Linked DNA regions of Arabidopsis thaliana. The protein of the gene in region 1 interacts with the protein of each later gene in a pairwise test. Each region holds a gene or a part of one and is shown in the gene's direction. Other genes may lie near its edges.

Region 1 (7,430 bases):
CCATCTTTAAGTAAGATTTTACCAGTGCTAGCTTCATCTCTCCCATTTTCTGTTATGTACATGACAGGGTCTTTGAACTTGTATTTTGCATAGAGGATAAGATCACGAATTCCCTTTGGATATATCAAAAGTCAATCTGATGCAGCTTTTGGACCAATGGGAACTCCATCTCTTTCGCCTGTGACGCTAGCACAAGGATCAGAGAACATTGTAACGTTTTCGCTTGAGCAAGGAACATCTTTTGCATAAGAAGACGAGTAATAATTGATGCCAATGAAATCATATGATCCCTTAAGCATGTTAGATTGTTTTGAAGTAAATGTAGGCAAGCGACCGCCTTTTACGTTGTTAACCATGTCAACCGGGTATTTACCGGTCACGAGCGGCTCCATGAAATAGTCGAATGTGAAAGCCATGGCTCGTGCCGCGGCTAACCTATCCTCAGCTGATTCTGTATAAGGTAAGTTCCAACCTGCATTCAAAGCTATACCGACTTGACCTTTTTGAGAAGCCTTATACTTTTTTCTATAGACTTTGATTGCTTCTCCGTGAGCTAGGATAAGGTTGTGACCAACGATATAAGGCTCGGTGGCTCCATTCCCGGCGGTGCAGTTAGGGTTTGTAAATTTTGAACACCTTCCTGGAGCCATAACACCTGCAACATATCCTTGTTGCACCACTGTTAATGGCTCGTTCAATGTAATCCAATGTTTCACTCGATCTCCAAAGCTCTTGAAACAAATATCGGCATAGTCGCGAAAATCATTAACAATTTCTGCCCCACGGAATCCTCCGTAAGCATCTTCAAGGTCTTGTGGTGTGTCCCAATGGAAAATGGTTGCGAAAGGCTTAATTCCTTTAGACAAAAGCTCATTGATCAAGTTGTTGTAATAGTCAATACCAGCTTGGTTGATTCCTCCTTTAAGATTCCCACGAGGCAAAATACGCGACCACGAGATGGAGAATCTATAGGCATTGAACCCAATTTGATGCAATAAACCCACATCCTCCTTGTAAAGATGGTAAGAGTCATCTGCAATAGATCCGTTGCTACCATCTTTTATCTTTTCTGGGTATTTTTCAGAAAACGTATCCCATATACTAGGTCCTCTACCATCTTCCTGAGCAGCTCCTTCAACTTGGTACGCAGAGGTTGCAGCTCCGAAAATGAAATCTTCTGGGAAATCAGTTTTTCTTAATTTAGGTGTTGAAGAGTGTCTCTTGGCAACAACTTCATTGGAAGCCAAGATGATGAACACTAGTACGGAGAAATATTTACTTGTCATTCTAAATTTTTCTTTTGATTATTGAATCTTTGTTTGTTGTAATATAATGAATTATGTCTAGAGTTATATAGGCAAGAGATTTGTTTTTACATTGGGTATGTGAATCTATAAATAGAGAAATGTAAGATAGAGATGGTGTAACAAATCTTTTAATTTTTACTTGTCCATAATTAGTGAATAGAAGACTATTGAAATGATCTTATCTAGTTGTCTTTCTAGTAGGAAAAAATTAGAAACACACTTGTAAATATTTTCCTTTTTCTTGTAACTACTTTTTTTATCCAACAATTTTGTAAATTCCCAAAATAATTCAAATAACTCTCTCAAGACTCCATTATAAACTATTCTTTTTTTTGTTAAATCCATTATAAACTATTCACAATGATCTTAACTAGTTATCGTCTTTATGATTTATGTCTCGAGAGAGTTATTTGAAATATCTAAGAAATTTACAAAAAAAAATGTTTTCTGTAAGTTTCAAACTAGTTTTAGAAAATCGTGAGTGTGGATTTGCATAAGATGATCAAGCTGTGTCCATTTTCTTGTTAACGTAGGTCTCTTATTGCAAAACCAATTTTTTCTTCTTCTTCTCTTCATGCTACGAGTCTTTTCTCTCTCGCTAAGGCTAATCTCCCTTTATTCTCTCACCATTCTTGTAAAAGCAAAGAACATGAGCATCAAGAAATTAAATTATTGAAGGTCCGACATGGAAGTGAAATTTGTAGAGTTGTAGTTAAACTTTGAAATACGAGGCCGAAATCAAACTAATCGTTGGAGTGACATAGAGTTGGGCTTCACTTTGGATCGATAATAGGCCAACTCATTTCAGTAGGAAGTACTTGGAGTGTTTTTCTTTTGTACTACACGCATGTACTACTTTTCTTTCATTTCACATCCAATAGAGTACTACTTTAACACACAAAGCTGAAAACTCCCAAAATTTGGTAGGATACAAGATTACAAAACAAAGAAAAAAAGGACGGACCAAAACTAATCGTGCACATAAAGATCTCAATGAATTTAATGAGTTAATTATTTTTATACGGTTCGATTTAAACCAAAAATCAAAAATGGCATCCTCAAAGAAAATTTTGCATGAATTAAAGACCAGTTTGGTTCAATGTTTTGTCATCAGTAACTACACAAACAAATACTTAAAATTTAATATATCTACAATAGTTTTTGTGTGTATTATTTGTTTCTAATTGACTTTTTTTACACCTGCCTAACAATCTCCCTTACACGTAATGAACTTCCAATTTACACGGAGAAACAACCACCCCTGTTGACACGTGTCATCACCACACCGACCGGCGGTGCATCACCCTTAGCTAATCCGGCTAACTCCAAACGTCGATGAGCAGACGGACGAGGAAGATTCTCCGGTACGATGGTCTCTAGCGAGTTCTCAAGCCAAGGCGGACACGTCCTCTTGTCACTCCACCTCCGCGGCGGCACCACACCCGCAGCCATCTCTTCTACCGGCGATTTCACAACCGCAGCTTCCACTGATGCAACATCATTGATCTGAATCCCGCCGATTACGACAGTTGCCGCCACCCCCAAGACAAAAGAACACTTGTTTTTCCGTGGCTCTGTCTCATTTTCTGTTCTCCTACTAAACAATAAAAGAACAAAGATCATTGATATGAAAAATTATCAGGTAAATAATAACTTTTCATGAATAGAAGAGATACCAAGAGATCTTTGACGTTGTCTTGAGCAGTGAAGCTAATGATTGTGCAGAATTTGAATCTAGGGGAGGAAGATTTAGACAGCAGCTTATTCTCCCTGCCATTGTTATTCCTCTGTTTTCGTTTCCTTCTTTTTCTTAAGAATCCACCTAGAACAAATTTTATTTTATTCCTTTCACCTCCAACATATATATAACTACTAACCCATTCTTACTTGGGTCACTCATTTTTTCTTACTATATATGTATCCTCAAATTATTACATTTCATATGCGCATGCAATACAAACCACATCTAAATTTTTCTTCCAATATGTTCTTTCTCTATACTTAACTAAAGCCCAAAGAATGAACTTAACCTAGAAAAGATGGACTTGACCCAATAGCATTGGTCCGTTGGAGATGTTAGGTCCATACTCCATACAAAGACAAATTGAACAAAAGTCGTGAATCTGTTTGCTACGTCTGAATAACAACGTACACGTATCACGCCTTGCGAACAAATTATTTGACAATGATGGCCAATTAGCATGTGTCATCACTTGTTACCACGTCAACAAGGTTCTTGTCGGTCCGTTTAATTAATAGTAACCATCGTTTTCAGGAAAAAAATCCACATAAAAAGTTTCTAATGGCGAAACAATATTCAAATATTTCCTAACAACTACCATGAGACTGATTCTTTTTCTCTTCCGAAAAATTAATGAGACTGAGTCCTAATTTTTCTTATAGTTAATTTGGTGACCATCAAAGAATGTAAAAGTATTTAGGAAACAGCACAAATAATCTGGCAATTACGGTCTACAACATGTTTATTTACTTATTTTTAAATTATAGAAAAATTTAATATTTTAATATCTTATATTTAATGCCCTAAATAACACTAAATCACACATATAAATAGCAGAGATATAAATATAGAAAAACATTCCAAGCATTTTTCAGTACTTAACATTTATACAGAAAAACAATTAAACATTTTTCAGCACTTAATAATTAACATATGTGAGAAATTCATAAACTCTATTAAATATTCATGAAAATAATGTATTTTTAATTTTATAAGTAATATCTCATGTGTCGACTTTTTTTATATAAAAAAGATGTAAAAAAGGTCCCAAGTTACTAAAATTCAATTTTGTCAACTTAACTCAAAATCTTTTTGCTATTAGTCTAAAATTTCAGATTTCCTTTCTTGCTATTTTTCAAAATACTATGTTTACTTCTCATATAAACTGTAAATATATCCCTTTTTTAATAAGAAAAAAAATCTCTCACTTCAAAAACAAAAAGGAAAAAAAAAAGCAAAGAGAAAAAGTAAATAATACGCCGACGTTTCGTGTTTATGTTAAGCTTCCTTTTTCCTTTTTCCTTTTTCTTTTTGCCTTTTAAATAACCGTCGGACTCATATTTCTCGCCTCCGCCGGCGAACAGTTTTATTATCTCTCTCTTTCTGCGTGTTCCAATTTCTTCCACAAAACCCTAATTTTCTCTTAAACCCTGAAATTCGTGTAACCTTTCAACAATCTCTTCAATTTTGTTTTCGATTCTGAATCCATTGTTTACGAATCTCTCATCTAAAGCTACATTCTTCGTTAAATCGTTTTTAATCGACTCGCTCACTCGTGAGTTGACTCGTCAGCTGTTTCCATAATTGCTTATTGAATTTTTATACGATGATGTTTCAATATGGAAGAAACTAGAGGAATTTCTGATCCAGAGAATGGGAGTTCGAGTTACGGCGGTAAACCGCCGAATCCACTCTCCTTCTCTTCTTCCTCCGCCGCTGCTGCCGTTTACAGGCAAACCTTCGACGGCGAGCGATCGTTGGCGCCGTGTAATAAGAGGTCACTGGTTCGACACTCATCTCTCGTAAGATTCGTTTCTCTTCAACTTGATTTGTGGATCAGTTAGGTTTATTTTGTGTATTGAATGATCAATTTAAGTTGAGGTTTTGTAATTATTGCTCTGCTTTTGGATTTGATCATTATTGGTTTCCTAATGTGTATAATTAAGGTAGAAAGTTTCTGTTTTTAATGTGTCATTATGAGATGTTTGAGGTTTTCTGATTGATTTTCATTTTGGTAGGTGAAGACAATGGTGTCAGATATATCTGTTGAGAATGAGTTTACTATAGAGAAGAACAAGTCTGAGTTTGTTCCTGCTACGCGTTCTGGAGCTTGGTCTGATATTGGCTCCAGGTCAAGCATGGAAGATGCTTATCTATGCGTTGATAATTTCATGGATAGCTTTGGCCTTCTGAATTCTGAGGCTGGTCCAAGTGCCTTCTATGGGGTATGTTCTTTCTTCAGTTTTCCTGATTTTTTGTAGATTTGTAGCATAAGCAAACAACTGTGAATGTAGTGAAAATATGGGGATCTCTTATTGAATTTTGTTTGTTATTAGGTATTTGATGGACATGGTGGGAAGCATGCCGCTGAGTTTGCATGTCACCATATACCGAGGTACATTGTTGAAGATCAAGAGTTTCCTAGTGAAATCAATAAGGTGTTATCTTCAGCATTTCTTCAAACAGACACTGCCTTCTTAGAGGCGTGTTCATTGGATGGGAGCCTTGCTTCAGGAACTACTGCTTTGGCAGCTATTCTTTTTGGAAGGTTTGTTGATTCAACTCTTATTATCTTTTAGTTTTGTCTAACCTAAACTCTTACATCTTGGTTATGTTAAAGAAAAACGTGTTTGGGAATAGATGCTTATCCTCAACTGCGTAGTGTGCATAATCTTGACCTTTAACACAATCATGTACAACTAATTCGCCTGTAGATGTATTCTCTGCCCATATGTGCTGCTGCTATAATGTAGTTATTGTCTCATATGGTCTTTGAGTCACGTATATACTTGCTCATTTCATACTCTATTAGTATTCTGGTATGAAACCGTTTGGTACCGTGTTAACATATAGTTTTGTGGTAACAGGTCGTTGGTGGTAGCAAACGCTGGAGATTGCAGAGCAGTCTTATCCCGTCAGGGAAAAGCCATTGAAATGTCAAGAGACCACAAACCCATGAGCAGTAAGGAAAGGAGACGCATTGAAGCATCGGGTGGACATGTATTCGATGGCTATCTAAATGGACAACTTAATGTGGCTCGAGCGCTAGGTGACTTTCATATGGAAGGCATGAAGAAGAAGAAAGATGGTTCTGATTGTGGACCTCTAATTGCAGAGCCTGAGCTCATGACAACAAAACTAACAGAAGAGGATGAGTTCCTTATAATTGGGTGTGACGGGGTTTGGGATGTGTTCATGAGCCAGAATGCTGTAGATTTTGCCAGAAGGAGACTACAGGAGCACAATGACCCGGTCATGTGTAGTAAGGAGCTGGTTGAGGAAGCTTTGAAGAGGAAGAGTGCTGATAATGTGACGGCAGTGGTTGTGTGTCTTCAGCCACAGCCACCACCGAACTTGGTAGCGCCGAGGTTGAGAGTTCACAGAAGCTTCTCGGCGGAGGGTTTAAAAGATTTACAGAGCTACTTGGATGGCTTGGGAAACTAATTGGGGGACATGAGGATGGTGACGAATGATTGATTTCTCTGTTTTTGTTTTGTCTTTTCTTACAATTTTATAGTTTGGGGTTTGGAGGTTTTGTTCTGTTAAATTCTCGCAATTTGAGTAAGTTATAACATGAGGCGGCATACAATAATTTATTGTTTGGTAGGATATATTTTTTTGTCACTTTTGCATAATAATAATTCTGCTTCAGTCTCATTTGTTTTGTAACTAGAAAGTTATTCCAATTCCTGCGTTTACCGAATATGTTGTGTTCTTGCAGAATGACGTATGTTAGATATGCAGTAAACTCGAGGGTCGGCTTTGACCACATCGCCACTTATCGGTTTGCGGATGCTGGAAAAGTCAGTCTAGTGATGAGGCTGAGTGAGCCATCGTCAGTTACTATTTTATCGTGAAACTCTGAACAACGAGATTGTCCCGGATATTCAAATGAGGAACAAGGCCCAATAGTCCGATCAAAGTGGGCTATTCGTATCGCTTACGAGGCCTATACGATGGTAATTGAATTCACGCGCATTCATCAGCGCGTGATTTGGAGTTGCTCAATTTCAGATCGCACAGGCTCTGTTAATCATCTCCTCCTCCGAAAGACAGAGAAAGAGACAAATCAAATTCATTCATATCAAAGAGATAGAGAGAAAATGTCCGGTGTGGCTATTCATGCGAGTTCATGGGGCGCGGCTCTGGTGAGAATCTCCCCGTACACTTTCTCCGCCATCGGAATCGCCATCTCCATCGGCGTCTCTGTTCTTGGTGCTGCCTGGTATAAATCCTTTTCTTCTTCTCCCCATTGATTTGCGAAATCATCATGCTTACGAAAACTATTTTGCTCTCTCTCTTTATGGTTTAGGGGAATTTACATTACCGGAAGTAGTTTGATCGGTGCCGCCATTGAAGCTCCTCGAATCACTTCCAAGAAT
Region 2 (6,691 bases), on another chromosome or scaffold:
TCCCCACATCCTATCATCATTACACCATTTTCTCAATCTCCGCCCAACTTTTTCAGCAAATACCCCATGTCTCCCCTTAAATTATTCCTAGTTTTATTCTGTTATACATTCTTATAATCTCACTTTTTTATCTGTGTTCAATTTTTAAGTGTCTATCTTTATGATCTTCATCAGGCTTTCATTAGTAGACATAACAATCGACATATTTCTTTTGGAGTGGGGCTAAAGGGTTCAGAGGCACTCGATCAAGATAAACATGAAGAACTACGAATGGTTGAAAATTACATCAAAATAAGTACCGTATCCTAATATAAATTGCTAGCTAATAAAAATTGTAAAGAGGTTAATATCGTTGTCTCAAAATCATATGTTTCATAAATATACCACATATACAAATCTACACATATAAAAAGGGTCATTTTGATACATTTATATTCCATTATCTGAAGTCCAATTGCAGTAACAAACTACAACAAATCGGATTTTAACATACTAAGGACTCGACCCATGAATGTGGTTGATTATTAAAATGTCACAATTATTAAATATATCATCTTGATCTTTAATCAATCTCAGGACTCAATGACCGATATTTCAAAATCCCAATATTGAATAACGATTAATTAACAAAATAAAAAAATCAATAACGCTTCATCCGGAGAACCATGACGACCAAAACCTTAATTTTTGGGCATGTTGAACTTTCACGTATCCAAAAATAGGTGAACACATGTCGTCACCCTCTTAGATATAGGATTTAGCAAAAACTAATGGCCACGATCTGTTAAGAGTCAAGCGATAAAAAGCAAAGCTCCTTTCGTTTTTTCAGAAATTTTGAACCCATTCAAGTCGGGGCGTTGCAGGATCCGATTTCTCGTTTTGTTCTTCGTTAAAATTCACCAGGTGATAACCAAATACCCTTGTTTCTTGGTAACAATTTCGATTTTCTTGCATGGAAAAATGTCAAGAAAAATAGATTTTAGATAAATCAACTTGAATATGTAAGGCCATTTTCATTTAAAATGGCTTGTTGAATGAAAATTTCATGGGAACCGTTACATTATTTGCATATTACAATTGTTTGTTACCGGTCTTGATTCATATTCATATATAGATTGAAGAATGGCGGACGGTGAAGACATTCAACCGCTTGTTTGTGACAATGGAACTGGAATGGTTAAGGTAAAGTTTCTCTCTAAGACTCTTATTGCTATGTCACATATATATAAGGCTATGCCATAAACGACTACTCAAAAATATATCCCGTGCTTAGGCCGGATTCGCGGGTGACGATGCACCAAGAGCGGTTTTTCCGAGCATTGTAGGCCGTCCTCGCCACACGGGTGTGATGGTAGGGATGGGACAAAAGGATGCTTATGTTGGAGACGAGGCTCAATCAAAACGTGGTATCTTGACTCTGAAGTACCCAATTGAGCATGGAATTGTTAATAATTGGGATGACATGGAGAAGATTTGGCATCACACTTTCTACAATGAGCTTCGTGTTGCCCCTGAAGAACATCCGGTTCTCTTGACCGAAGCTCCTCTCAATCCGAAAGCTAACCGTGAGAAGATGACTCAGATCATGTTTGAGACATTCAATACTCCTGCTATGTATGTTGCCATTCAAGCTGTTCTCTCACTCTATGCCAGTGGCCGTACAACTGGTCAGTAACACACTTATATTTGTGTTGATCCAATCTATAACCAGTTTTTTTTCATGCTTGATTTTAAATAATATGAACTATTTTAAGGACTATTTGGTTATGCTTTTATGGACAACCCTAATTGGTTCTTTTGCAAATTATTGATTAGGTATTGTTTTGGACTCTGGAGATGGTGTGAGCCACACGGTACCAATCTACGAGGGTTACGCTCTCCCACACGCAATCCTACGTCTTGACCTAGCAGGTCGTGACCTCACGGACCACCTCATGAAAATCCTCACAGAGCGTGGATACTCCTTCACCACAACTGCTGAACGTGAAATTGTTAGAGACATGAAAGAGAAGCTCTCTTACATTGCTCTAGACTTCGAGCAAGAGCTAGAGACTTCCAAAACAAGCTCGTCCGTTGAGAAAAGCTTCGAGCTTCCTGATGGACAAGTGATAACCATTGGAGCAGAGAGGTTCCGGTGTCCGGAAGTTCTGTTCCAGCCGTCAATGATCGGAATGGAAAATCCAGGAATCCATGAAACCACATATAACTCTATCATGAAATGTGATGTGGATATTAGGAAAGACTTGTATGGTAACATTGTGCTAAGTGGTGGAACCACAATGTTTGGAGGGATTGGTGATAGAATGAGCAAAGAGATTACGGCTTTGGCTCCAAGTAGTATGAAGATTAAGGTCGTGGCTCCACCGGAGAGGAAGTACAGTGTATGGATCGGTGGCTCTATATTGGCTTCACTCAGCACTTTCCAGCAGGTGAACACATTAATATACATTTTTATTATTATTTGATCATGTATAATATAACATTCATAAGTTTGTTTTGATATAAATATTGGTATGTGTTTGAAAACTTGACAGATGTGGATTGCGAAAGCAGAGTACGATGAATCTGGACCCTCAATAGTGCATAGGAAATGCTTCTAATCACAGTTCCTAAGATCACCAAACGAAGACGGAAGTAAAAGTAAAAGACAGAAGGTTAAAAACATTGAGATTACTACCAAATGCCACATTTTTCCATTATATTTTCTAATCTCTCTTTTATCCTTTTTTTTTTGAATAGCCTCTCTATGTTAATTTTTCAACTAAGCATACTTTTCTTTAAACAATTTCCACTCCCAATGTACTATATATAAGCGACTAATTTCAATTATTATATTTTCTATTTTAAACTTAATTTATTTGTTACTCAAAAGAGATTTTGTGATGGTTAAACAATTGTGACTAATATACTTCAAAGACATCCGTATCAAACACAAAACAAGCTCCATAATGTTGATCTAGTACAAACAATTGTGACATATAAATGCATATTGTCGAAACTCACTAAATCTTAGATTACTCGGTTAAATGGATGTGGTCTAATAAGTGTCAATAAACACAACACAAAATGTTAAACTGATGGATTAGTGATGAGAAGATGAGTTTAAATGTTTCATTTAGTAATAAAACGTGTTTATTATGTTTGTTGGTAAAGAAAAGAAGAAACGAATTGTTGATGGTTAACTAAATTTTAATTTCTTATTCGATCTCGGTTTAACCGAACCGAATCGTAAACCCAGAAACAGAAGCTGCGACGGAGAATCCATTTCTCGAGATCGTCGCCGTTAAAATCTGCGATCTCATTGCTCATTGGTGAAGACAAATCCCTAATTCGTATGTCAGATTCTGTGGCCGGCGATTTCCCTCCCGATCCACTTCTCGCCTCCGGAGCCTTCATCTCCTCCGCCGGTGACGGAACCCTAGACAGTAGTGCGAAACGACGACCGATTCAGGGAGGAATCGGAATTTCTGGTTCGGGAGAGAGCGTACGCATCGGGATGGCTAACGGCACTGATCAGGTGAATCATCAGACGGAATCGAAGTCGCGGAAGCGTGCGGCGCCTGGAGATAATTGGTTGCCTCCTGGTTGGAGAGTTGAAGATAAGATTCGAACTTCCGGTGCCACAGCTGGTTCGGTGGATAAGGTAAAGAATCTCAGCTTGACTCTGCTTTTCTCTATGAAGTTTTGAGCTGCGTTGTTGCTTGAAGACTACAAATTGAGGATTCTTTGATTGCTGTTGTTTTGTTCTCTTTGGTTTAAAAATCTTGCCTTTAAAGTAGTGACAAGTGTAATGATGTAGTAAAATGATGTGGTTGGTTCTGCTTAAGCATTAATGAGTTTGTTTAGATTATGTTAATGGTGTATTGGGACTTGAATCATACACTTTATCAGTGTGATTAGTGTTACTTTGATTTATCAGGTGGATTTAGATGGTTTGGTTTGGTATATATTGTGATTGAAGAGATGAAGTTTTGGTGTTGTTATACTCGATGCTAATATGGGTGTAGATATTGATGTGTAGACTTGTGACATTTTCTTATCTGGTTTTGCAGTACTATTACGAACCAAATACAGGACGTAAGTTTCGGTCCAGGACTGAGGTGCTGTACTACTTGGAACATGGAACTTCTAAAAGAGGCACCAAGAAAGCTGAGAATACATATTTCAATCCAGACGTGAGTTTACATGCTTAAAGATTAAACCTTTCACCCTGGTTTCAAACCTGTGATGTGTATTGAATTTTGCATTTGCAGCATTTTGAAGGCCAAGGAAGCAATAGAGTCACCAGAACCGCTACAGTGCCTCCACCTCCGCCACCGCCATTGGACTTTGATTTTAAGAATCCACCAGACAAGGTAAGCTGGTCTATGGCAAACGCAGGAGAAGAAGGTTGGATACCTAATATTGGGGACGTCAAGGTTCAAGACTCAGTGAGACGAGATTGGAGCACTGCGTTTACCTTTATCACAAGCCGAAACCCTAGTAAAGTGTCGGCTTGAAGACTATGATGACCTGGTGGCGATTTTTGGGTTGTTGCATCTATGGTAAGATACACAGATATGTTAGGGTTACTTAATTGGATAATTCTTGTTTAGTCTTCATTCATCAATCATCAAGTTATGTGTACTATAATTTTTGTAGCGGTTTTTGGAAGAATATGATAAGGGGATATGCATCTTTGTGTTTGCTTTTGGAACGTGATAACCATTCGACTTTTGACTGATGAAATTGAAGACACTGTCGTAGTAACAAAGCTATTCTTCTTAGACATTTTGATACTGAACTATTCTGTGTTCCAAAGTCTTTTACTTTGTGTTTAGGAAAAGATCTTGTTCTTTGTGAAACCAGTGTCGTAATTCAAGAACTAATGCTTGACATGTCTCACCTGCTCAGGTTATCTAAATCTAATGGATAAGAAGAAACATCAACAATACTGCACTGATACAAGACAAGAAGCGTCTGTAGTCCAACGGTTAGGATAATTGCCTTCCAAGCAATAGACCCGGGTTCGACTCCCGGCAGACGCAATTATATTTTTCCCAAACATAATTTTAGATTTTGTTAACCAAACAATTTGTGGGGTTCGAATGTAACTGGTTGTAGCACATTTAATATCTGCAATAAATTATCAAAAAGGCCATTGGAACTCTCCCAACCCATCGTCTAATTTAGTAATTTTTGGTCTTGTAACCTTCTAGGTGTACCAGAGGCTTCCTTATTAGTCTTGTATCCCAAGCTTTTGAAAAAAAGTGAAACGAAAAGGTTTTAAGTTTTGTTGGCTTTTGACTATCATTTCCCCTCTCTGTTTATTAAAATTTACAGTATTGCCACTGAGTTTGCTGCGACGGTCTGTCTCTTCAAAAAGCAATTTTGGGGAGGAAGAGAAAACCTTAAGAGTCAAACGGAAAAAAAACACACACTATTTTTGTGATTCACCAAGCAGAAGAAAATTGAGAAAAAAAAAAGGTCTCTGCTTTTTATTTTCCATGGCTTAGACTCTCATTTTTATTGGGAATTTGGATGGTCTAAAGTCAGGATTTGCTTTATTTTGCTTGCAAGGTTTTGTAAAAGAACACTTTTTCTCGGTTCTTCATCCGTACACGTAACAAATCCATTTCTTATGTGTTTTTTCGATTTCTAGAATCTGTAAAACCCACAAAAAAGAGGTTTTTTTTTTTGTTTCTGGGTTCTTTGAAGAAGCAGAGAGAAGATAAGCTCTTTACAGTTTTCTTCATAACAAGTGATTTCCTTTTGTTTTCTTATTCGATTTCCAGTTTCTATATGTTACATAAATTTGATTTTTAACTCTGAATCATATACATTACTCAAAACCTTAAAAAGGTTTCTTTTTTGTTTGTCTAGGTTGTTCAAAACTTGATCTTTCAGTAGCTAAATATATGGATCCTCTATAATCTCATTTGTAAAGCTCTTTTATTGCAGCTTTAAGATGGAGAAAAATCAACAAAAGCAGGAATTTCTAGCTGAGACCTCAGAGATGAAGAACACCAAAAACAACGACGACTGTTCTGTACAACAACAACAACGATTTGTGTGGCCATGGGTTGGTCTAGTAGCCAACATACCAACGGAGGTGGAACCATCGGGTCGGAGAGTAGGCAAAAGCGGTTCAACGTTACGTGATGAGTTCACTATGAAAGGGTTTAATCCAACAAGAGTCCAACCCATTTGGGATTTCAAGGGTCATTCTGGTTTTGCTTTGGTTGAATTCGCTAAAGACTTTGAAGGATTCGAAAGCGCCATGAATTTCGAAAGGAGTTTTAATTTAGACCGTCATGGGAAGAGAGATTGGGAAAAAGGTAAAACATTGTTTCAGAGTTTTTAAAGTCATTTGCTTTCTTGACATTGATGAGTTCACTTTCTTTGTAAAAGGTCATCGCTTGAGAGACAATAAGCTCTATGGATGGGTTGCCAGAGAGGATGATTATAATCGAAGTGATACTGTTGGGAAGAACGTCAAGAAGAAGAGAGATTTGAAAAGTATCTCTCAGATTGTGGAGGAAGACGAGAGGAAAATGGTTCATCTTGTTGAGAATATGTCTCAAACCATTGAGAAGAAGAAGCAAAGTAAACAAGAGCTTGAACAGAAAGTTGATGAGACTTCTCGTTTCTTGGAGAGTTTGGAATTGCATAACGTTCTGTTAAACAAAAACTACCAAGAAGGTAAAATAGA
Region 3 (7,541 bases), 8.4 Mb from region 1:
TTTAAATTATCAATCAAAGATCTTGTTAATTATGGTACAGGGGAAAGACAAGTAACCTAGCCAAAACTAAGAGAAAGCATGCCGAAACAAGATTACAAGGTACATCAACACATTATATCTTAATAGTTAATACTGTACTCGAATTCACAGTCATGAACATTAAGAAAGCTTAGAAGTTCAAATATACTATCTTTGCAGTTTAATCCTGATTCAAGGTAGTAGATCGGAAATTTGATATCAAGTATTACTCTTTAGATTGCATTTAGTCTTGAAGTACTCACCATCTTGCTTCATTCTTGTGCTTTCATGTCTCTTTGATTAGACACACACACACACCTAACTATACTTTCGGCTCTAACATAGACATGAAACTTGCATTTAACATAGTTATATCAAGACAAAGCTAAATGCTCAATTCATTCCTATGTGGAGAATAATAAAAAATTGAGCTGTGTATTGTTGTGGAACATGAGAGTCTGGAAATGTCTCCATATTTCCACTCATTGAATAAAAATATGCAAGATCCGTTCTGATCTATTGTGTTCACTGATAATATCTAATCGTCTAACAGAGCAAGAAGAGAAAATGAGAATGATCCATGAAAAGTTCAAGGACGATGTCAGCCATCATCTTGAAGATTTTAAGAGTACTATCGAAGAGCTTGAAGCAAACCAGTCAGAGCTGAAAGGAAGCATAAAGAAGCAAAGTATGTTAACTTCTGTAATTCCTGCTTTTACTACAACGAATTCTAACACTAGAAATACTTGAAACATATGATGTTATCAAAGTTAGATTCTTCATGGCAAGATAGTTTTAATATAATAATAGCAGGAGGACAAGTATTTCCTAAACTCACTTGATAACTTTTTATCTCTCTATGACAGGAACATCACACCAAAAACTCATTGCACATTTTGAAGGAGGCATCGAGACAAAACTGGACGATGCGACCAAAAGAATCGATTCTGTAAACAAGGCAAGTCATTGTTCTGCTTCTTAAGAGTCAGATTCTAAAAATGGTTAAATCATGAATTCAAAAGCACAACTTAAAAATGACGTATTGGTTTACAGTCTGCGAGAGGAAAGATGCTGCAGCTGAAGATGATTGTCGCAGAATGTTTGAGGGATGATTGACACTGAGTCTCACAGAATCAATCAACCACACGTACGTCGTTATTCTCCATTTTAAAACATAAACTAGACGAACTGTGTTAACCAGGAAAGAAAAACCTCTCAAGCAAAACCAGCCTTTGGTTTAGTGGTCTCATGAGTTCAGGCGAATAAAGAAGATATAGTAGATGATGCTTTGACTCATTGTCATTGATTCGTATTCGTATAGAATAGTTTATTGTTCACTGAACCACTACAAAACTACTTATATCATAGAGCCTTATTTTATATAGCAGTTTGAAGGTTTCTTTTTAATTTATTTTTGCCAGCAACTGCAGATATTTTTTATTAAACCAACAACTTTTAATTAGGTTATTGATATCTTGATATATATCGAAGCAAAACCAATCCAAACATTTTTCTTTTAAAAACCAGAATATTTTGCAGACGTTGATGTGAATTTTAATTACAATATTTTACTTTAACAGAGATGTATTTCATATTGAATATCAAAACCAAACTGAACAAAGAATGGTCACAATTCGATATCAATCGAATGAAACAGAAAATAAAATGTTGGACCCAACAATTTTACTGTGATGATAAAAACATGGTAGAGATAATTTTGTTTGTAAATAGAGAGATCTCAAATCACAGAGGATTCTTTTTTTACGGTCGGTAAAAGAATTTAGAATGTGTCGAGAGGGTAAAAATGGAGAAGACGACAAGATAGTAGCAGTCGTTAGAAACAAACAAGAAAGAAGGGAGGGAGACAAAATAACACAAAGGGGTGGATGAATCACGCGGCATTCACGTGAAGTGCACGTGAACTTGGCCAAAAAAAGCCTAATTGTGGGTCCCATTTAAAGAGAAAACTAAAGCCTTTAAGAAAGGGCCCATCCATATATGTCTTAATAATGGCGTGAAGGTTCTTTCCGCTCACGTGGGCCTTTTGTGCCCGTCTCTCTCGCATGTCACTCACTACAGTTTTACTAGTGTTTTGTTTTATTTTTGATAACAACATTATTGATTTTTTTTCGGTCTACCTAAGTTTTGACCTTTCTTTTTTAATTGTGAACAATTGAACATGCGTATTACTTATTGATAATACTTTTATCTTCAATAAAAAAAATAACACACGAACATAATATAGAAATAGTGTGTTCCAATACTGGAGATTATTTAGTAAGTTCAGTTGGACGCTTTGTCATTGCATAGTTTGGAATTTATTCCTAAACTTTCTAAGAACACGTTCTTATAGGAATTTGCATGACGAAAAAATCAATACTAGTTGCATTATTGTTGGAGCATCATCGGGAGTGATTTTTTTTGTGTTTTCCTATTTACTACATTGTGTTTTCCTGACCTTTTAAATAAAAAGGAAATACACAAAACCATATATAAATATATGTATATATATATCTGACTGTGCTCAAGTAAAATTCACGGATCAGACGTTAAAAAAATGATCATGCTTAATATTTTCTCATTTTAGATGAAGACAAAAAAAAAAAAAAGGAATTGCAATCGTAGATTTGACTTTATTTTTATTTAATTTTTCTATTCTTTTTCCGAAAGCAGAGAAAAATGGAGCGGTGGAGAGTAGAGAAGTCGGTCATAAGAATGTCTCTCTCTCTATTTCTTTGTCTTTCACTATCGCCCATACATTATCTTGCTTCTTTCATTTATTCCATCAATATTTTTGTTTTAAAATGAAAGATTTACACATTAACATGAATACTTATACTACTCTTTATCGCGTATATATAGTATAGTCTATGTTATTATGAATTTATGATTATATTTTTTCTATAAAACGTGCGAAAACTCATTTCACATATACAAACAAATATATACGTTTTGTATTAAAAAAAAGCAACTGTAAATTTTATAAATCTGAAATGTAACATTTGAAGTCGACCAAAGTTTGTAAGGTAATAATTTGTACTAATTCTCCATACTGTGTCATAATCACGATTCAAGGATAAATATATGAGTTGTGGACCAAAACAAATCCTCCATATCAATCAATCATAAATGAAATAAGCGAATATACATATATACAACCGACTATATATATATATATATGCTGCTCTTCATTAACCCCAAGAAAGAAAACCAAAGTGTGAAGTCCGAATCTCTCTGATTCTACAATTCACAAAAACCGGAAAAAAAAAAAGACAAGTAAAGAAAGCTTTGTTCAGTTTACTTCAATGGAAGCAAAACCCTTAGCATCATCATCATCTGAACCAAACATGATTTCTCCATCATCAAACATTAAACCAAAGTAAGTTTATTATGGTTTCATCTACACTTTTTGCGACTTCTATAAACATATACACATGCGTGGTTTTGAAATAATGGGCGCTTATGGTTCTGTCGGTGCTTGAAACAATTTTGTCTTCTCCTGACTATTTTTTTTTTGTTAATAGGTTATTTATACGTGACTCTTTTCTTGCAGATTAAAAGATGAAGATTATATGGAGCTGGTGTGTGAAAATGGGCAGATTCTTGCAAAGATTCGAAGACCAAAGAACAACGGTTCTTTTCAAAAGCAACGTAGGCAATCTCTCCTGGATTTGTATGAGACCGAGTACAGCGAGGGTTTCAAGAAAAACATCAAGATTCTTGGAGACACACAAGTTGTTCCGGTGAGTCAGTCTAAGCCACAACAAGATAAAGAAACCAATGAACAAATGAACAACAATAAGAAGAAGCTAAAGTCCTCCAAAATCGAATTTGAGAGAAATGTTTCGAAAAGCAACAAATGTGTTGAATCATCAACATTAATTGATGTTTCTGCTAAAGGTCCAAAGAATGTTGAAGTTACTACAGCTCCTCCTGATGAGCAATCTGCAGCTGTTGGTAGATCCACGGAATTGTATTTTGCTTCTTCATCGAAGTTTTCTCGAGGAACTTCGAGAGATCTAAGTTGTTGTTCTTTAAAGAGGAAGTATGGAGATATTGAAGAAGAAGAATCAACCTATTTAAGTAATGTAAGAGAAATTAATTAGCTGCTTGTCTTAGTTCTTTCACATGGTAGATCATTAATTGTCTTTTTCTTATTGCTTATGCAGAATTCAGATGATGAATCAGATGATGCGAAGACACAAGTTCATGCGAGAACAAGAAAGCCGGTGACTAAAAGAAAACGAAGCACAGAAGTCCATAAGTTATATGAAAGAGTGAGTTTATATGTATGAAAATTTCACCTTAGTTAGTAGAAAAAAAATAATGTATGAAAATTAATGCTAATTAAGGATTTGTTAACAGAAACGAAGAGATGAATTCAACAAGAAAATGCGTGCTTTGCAGGACCTACTACCAAATTGTTACAAGGTTTGAGATTAACTTAAATCACATTACATTGTTTACTTAGTCTTAGAGAGTTAATTAATTTTCTCTTTGTGGAGATTTCTGAATATCTGTAATTGTTGATGATAGGATGATAAGGCTTCATTGTTGGATGAGGCTATCAAATATATGCGGACCCTTCAACTTCAAGTTCAGGTATTCAAAATAATACACCAATTCAATAAAATTTCATTGAGAGATAATAAAATGATTCAGGTGTTAATTATTTAAACACAGACTTGTGTTTATATTTACATATAAATTTGTTTTTTAACATTAAAATATACTTTGTAAAGTGTTTTTGTTATCAAATATTATTGCGTTTGGCTTTTACCTTTACGAATGATTCTTGATAAAGTCACTAGAAACTAGTTTCATAAGAGAAACCAAAACAAATTATAAACGTAATTAAACACTAATCAATAAACAATCAAAAGTTTATTCCTTATTTATTTTACTACAAATTTTTTTACATATATATAAGATTCTTAATTAACATGCTCTAATAATTATTTACAGATGATGAGTATGGGAAATGGATTAATAAGACCACCTACGATGTTGCCAATGGGTCATTACTCTCCCATGGGTCTAGGAATGCATATGGGTGCAGCAGCAACACCAACATCAATACCGCAATTCCTGCCTATGAATGTTCAAGCAACCGGTTTTCCGGGGATGAACAATGCACCACCACAAATGCTAAGCTTTCTTAATCACCCAAGTGGACTAATTCCAAACACTCCTATCTTTTCTCCATTGGAAAATTGCTCTCAGCCATTCGTGGTGCCTTCGTGTGTTTCTCAGACTCAGGCTACTTCTTTTACTCAATTCCCAAAGTCTGCGTCCGCCTCAAACTTAGAAGATGCAATGCAATATAGAGGAAGCAACGGTTTTAGTTATTATCGCTCGCCAAACTAATGATTTGTAGAAAGTTGATGTTTTCTCCAACTAACTAACTTTAAGCAAAAAAAAATGATCGTCTACTCTGTGTTGTTAGTCTATGGGCTTTTGGGCCTTGATTCTTGGAACGATTTGAACTTAATTCCAACTATTTTCAAAGTGGATGTACAAAGTAAAATATAACAAATATAAGTTATCATAGACTCTATAACAAAGTTATAAGTAGAGGACGTGCAATTGCATAATGATGGATGATGATGAGTGTTCAATTACGATAAACCGATTTTAACGCAAACCCAACTAAGATGAAGACAACTCATTTGACCTAAATCGTAATTTGAAACGAATTTTGCCATGTTTTTGGGATTAAGGAACAATCTCAATGATGAGATTGAGTAAAGTACTACAAAACTTGGGCTTGATGGGCTTTTTAGTGGACTAATATCTACTTTATTCTTTCTTTTTTCAAACATTAAAAAATTAATTGGGCTTTTTCAAACACGAAAACAAGGGAGTGCAATAGTGTGATGAAGATGAGACTCACACATTGAATTTCTGATATTTTAGCGTCAGGTGCGTTGAAAACTTGAAATCAATGTGAAGATTCTCTTTTAAAAATAGATGACTCTTATTTCATGAGTTAACATGATACTTAAAGAAAGTGGATAGTTAAGTCTAAACCAATTCTTTTAGTATAGAAATAAAATTTCAACCACTTCCTTTAAATATGAAACCATGCAAAAGTAGATAACAAACGAAAAAGTGTTTCATTTTAAGATTCGATGTCACGATCCATCACATTGCACCGTTGGTTGATAAATATCTCTCATCTTTGTTTATTTATTTTCACAATGTTGTACTTCTATTTCTATAACATTTTCGTTTGAATTCAAATACCAAATTAACTCTCCAAACAATTAGTTCATCAAGTATTTTGTTCACAATGATATGTTAACAACAAATCATTGATTCATTGTCCATGCCGGATTATTTTAAAGATACAGAAACAGTAAACCTAAGATACAATGAATGCTAAAACTAAATTATTCTCCCAAAAGGATTACTTAGCTTTCATGAGTAATTTTATATTTTTCTTTTATCCACTCATTTTTTATATACTTTCTATAATTGTCTTATTACGTAACAAATATGTGCTATAGGCATATTTAGAATCTACTCTATCATCATACCATATATAAGACACATTTTACTTTATTAATTACTTTTTGTTTGTTCTCAAATTGAAAATAAACAGACGTGTTTGTGCTAACTTCATGTAGTGTTTAGATAGTGTTTCATTCACTGGCCATAGACTTATTTTACAAAGTTATATGTGCATGTCATTATATAGTGTAGAACTTAAAACACCTAACCAAGAACAACAATACACACACACAAACATAAGGAAAAAAAAACTTTTCCATGGGGCTCGTAATTTTCTTGGCACTAATTGTCTTAATCCTTATTATTGGTCTCAGGATATTCAAAGCTTTTATGATTCTTGTTTGGCATCCATTTGTGTTGACCAGAAGACTCAAAAACCAAGGAATCTCAGGCCCAAATTACAGAATCTTTTACGGAAACCTCAGCGAGATAAAGAAGATGAAGAGAGAATCTCATCTTTCGATTCTTGATCCTAGCTCCAATGATATTTTCCCTCGTATTCTTCCTCATTATCAAAAATGGATGTCTCAATACGGTGTCGTTTTCTCCAACTCTCTCTTTGTTCATCTTTTATTTTAGATTTTATTCGAGGATAATGCGTAACACACAAGTTATCTATGTTATATATTATTAGGAGAGACTTTTCTTTACTGGAACGGAACAGAGCCAAGGATATGCATCTCAGATCCTGAACTTGCAAAAACTATGTTGTCGAACAAGTTAGGTTTCTTTGTCAAATCAAAGGCAAGACCTGAGGCTGTTAAACTTGTCGGCTCCAAAGGACTTGTCTTTATCGAAGGTGCTGATTGGGTTCGCCATAGAAGAATCTTGAACCCTGCTTTCTCCATCGATAGGCTCAAGGTATTTTAATCCTTCTTTCTTAGCTTGACTTGAGAAATTAAACATTAGAGCCGAATAACTTAATTTTGGTTGTAAATTTCTCATTTTGTTGATCAGATCATGACGACCGTGATGGTTGATTGTACGCTCAAGATGTTAGAGGAGTGGAG

What was found. Proteins that work in one complex are often made in the same cells at the same time.
Region 2: the proteins of DBP1 (region 1) and MBD6 interact in a two-hybrid assay, tested with the Arabidopsis thaliana proteins (one large-scale study listed by BioGRID).
Region 3: the proteins of DBP1 (region 1) and PIL1 interact in a two-hybrid assay, tested with the Arabidopsis thaliana proteins (one large-scale study listed by BioGRID).

Annotation. Positions count from the first base shown.
Region 1 is NC_003071.7:10,902,216-10,909,645, reverse strand, and holds DBP1 (DNA-binding protein phosphatase 1), read left to right. Parts: upstream 1-4,378; 5' UTR 4,379-4,667; coding exon 4,668-4,850; intron 4,851-5,066; coding exon 5,067-5,273; intron 5,274-5,384; coding exon 5,385-5,596; intron 5,597-5,915; coding exon 5,916-6,492; 3' UTR 6,493-6,651; exon of another isoform or gene 6,652-6,769; 3' UTR 6,770-6,930; downstream 6,931-7,430. Other genes in the region: BGLU14 (beta glucosidase 14), read right to left, coding at 1-113, 165-1,286; AT2G25625 (histone deacetylase-like protein), read right to left, coding at 2,547-2,904, 2,984-3,084; AT2G25610 (ATPase, F0/V0 complex, subunit C protein), read left to right, coding at 7,005-7,273, 7,361-7,430.
Region 2 is NC_003076.8:23,948,987-23,955,677, forward strand, and holds MBD6 (methyl-CPG-binding domain 6), read left to right. Parts: upstream 1-3,145; 5' UTR 3,146-3,334; coding exon 3,335-3,643; intron 3,644-4,052; coding exon 4,053-4,175; intron 4,176-4,253; coding exon 4,254-4,499; 3' UTR 4,500-4,721; downstream 4,722-6,691. Other genes in the region: ACT4 (actin 4), read left to right, coding at 1,123-1,182, 1,274-1,667, 1,816-2,429, 2,535-2,600; AT5G59390 (XH/XS domain-containing protein), read left to right, coding at 5,948-6,317, 6,391-6,681. UniProt on the Arabidopsis thaliana protein: Transcriptional regulator that binds CpG, CpNpN and CpNpG (N is A, T, or C) islands in promoters regardless the DNA methylation status. Plays probably a role in gene silencing. May associate with histone deacetylase proteins (HDAC).
Region 3 is NC_003071.7:19,293,461-19,301,001, reverse strand, and holds PIL1 (phytochrome interacting factor 3-like 1), read left to right. Parts: upstream 1-3,143; 5' UTR 3,144-3,323; coding exon 3,324-3,397; intron 3,398-3,464; exon of another isoform or gene 3,465-3,480; coding exon of another isoform or gene 3,481-3,488; exon of another isoform or gene 3,489-3,571; coding exon 3,572-4,106; intron 4,107-4,187; coding exon 4,188-4,295; intron 4,296-4,383; coding exon 4,384-4,449; intron 4,450-4,554; coding exon 4,555-4,620; intron 4,621-4,983; coding exon 4,984-5,385; 3' UTR 5,386-5,571; downstream 5,572-7,541. Other genes in the region: ASY3 (asynaptic protein), read left to right, coding at 41-99, 572-706, 885-976, 1,072-1,134; CYP709B1 (cytochrome P450, family 709, subfamily B, polypeptide 1), read left to right, coding at 6,790-7,066, 7,166-7,392, 7,489-7,541. UniProt on the Arabidopsis thaliana protein: Transcription factor. Involved in responses to transient and long-term shade. Required for the light-mediated inhibition of hypocotyl elongation. Necessary for rapid light-induced expression of the photomorphogenesis- and circadian-related gene APRR9.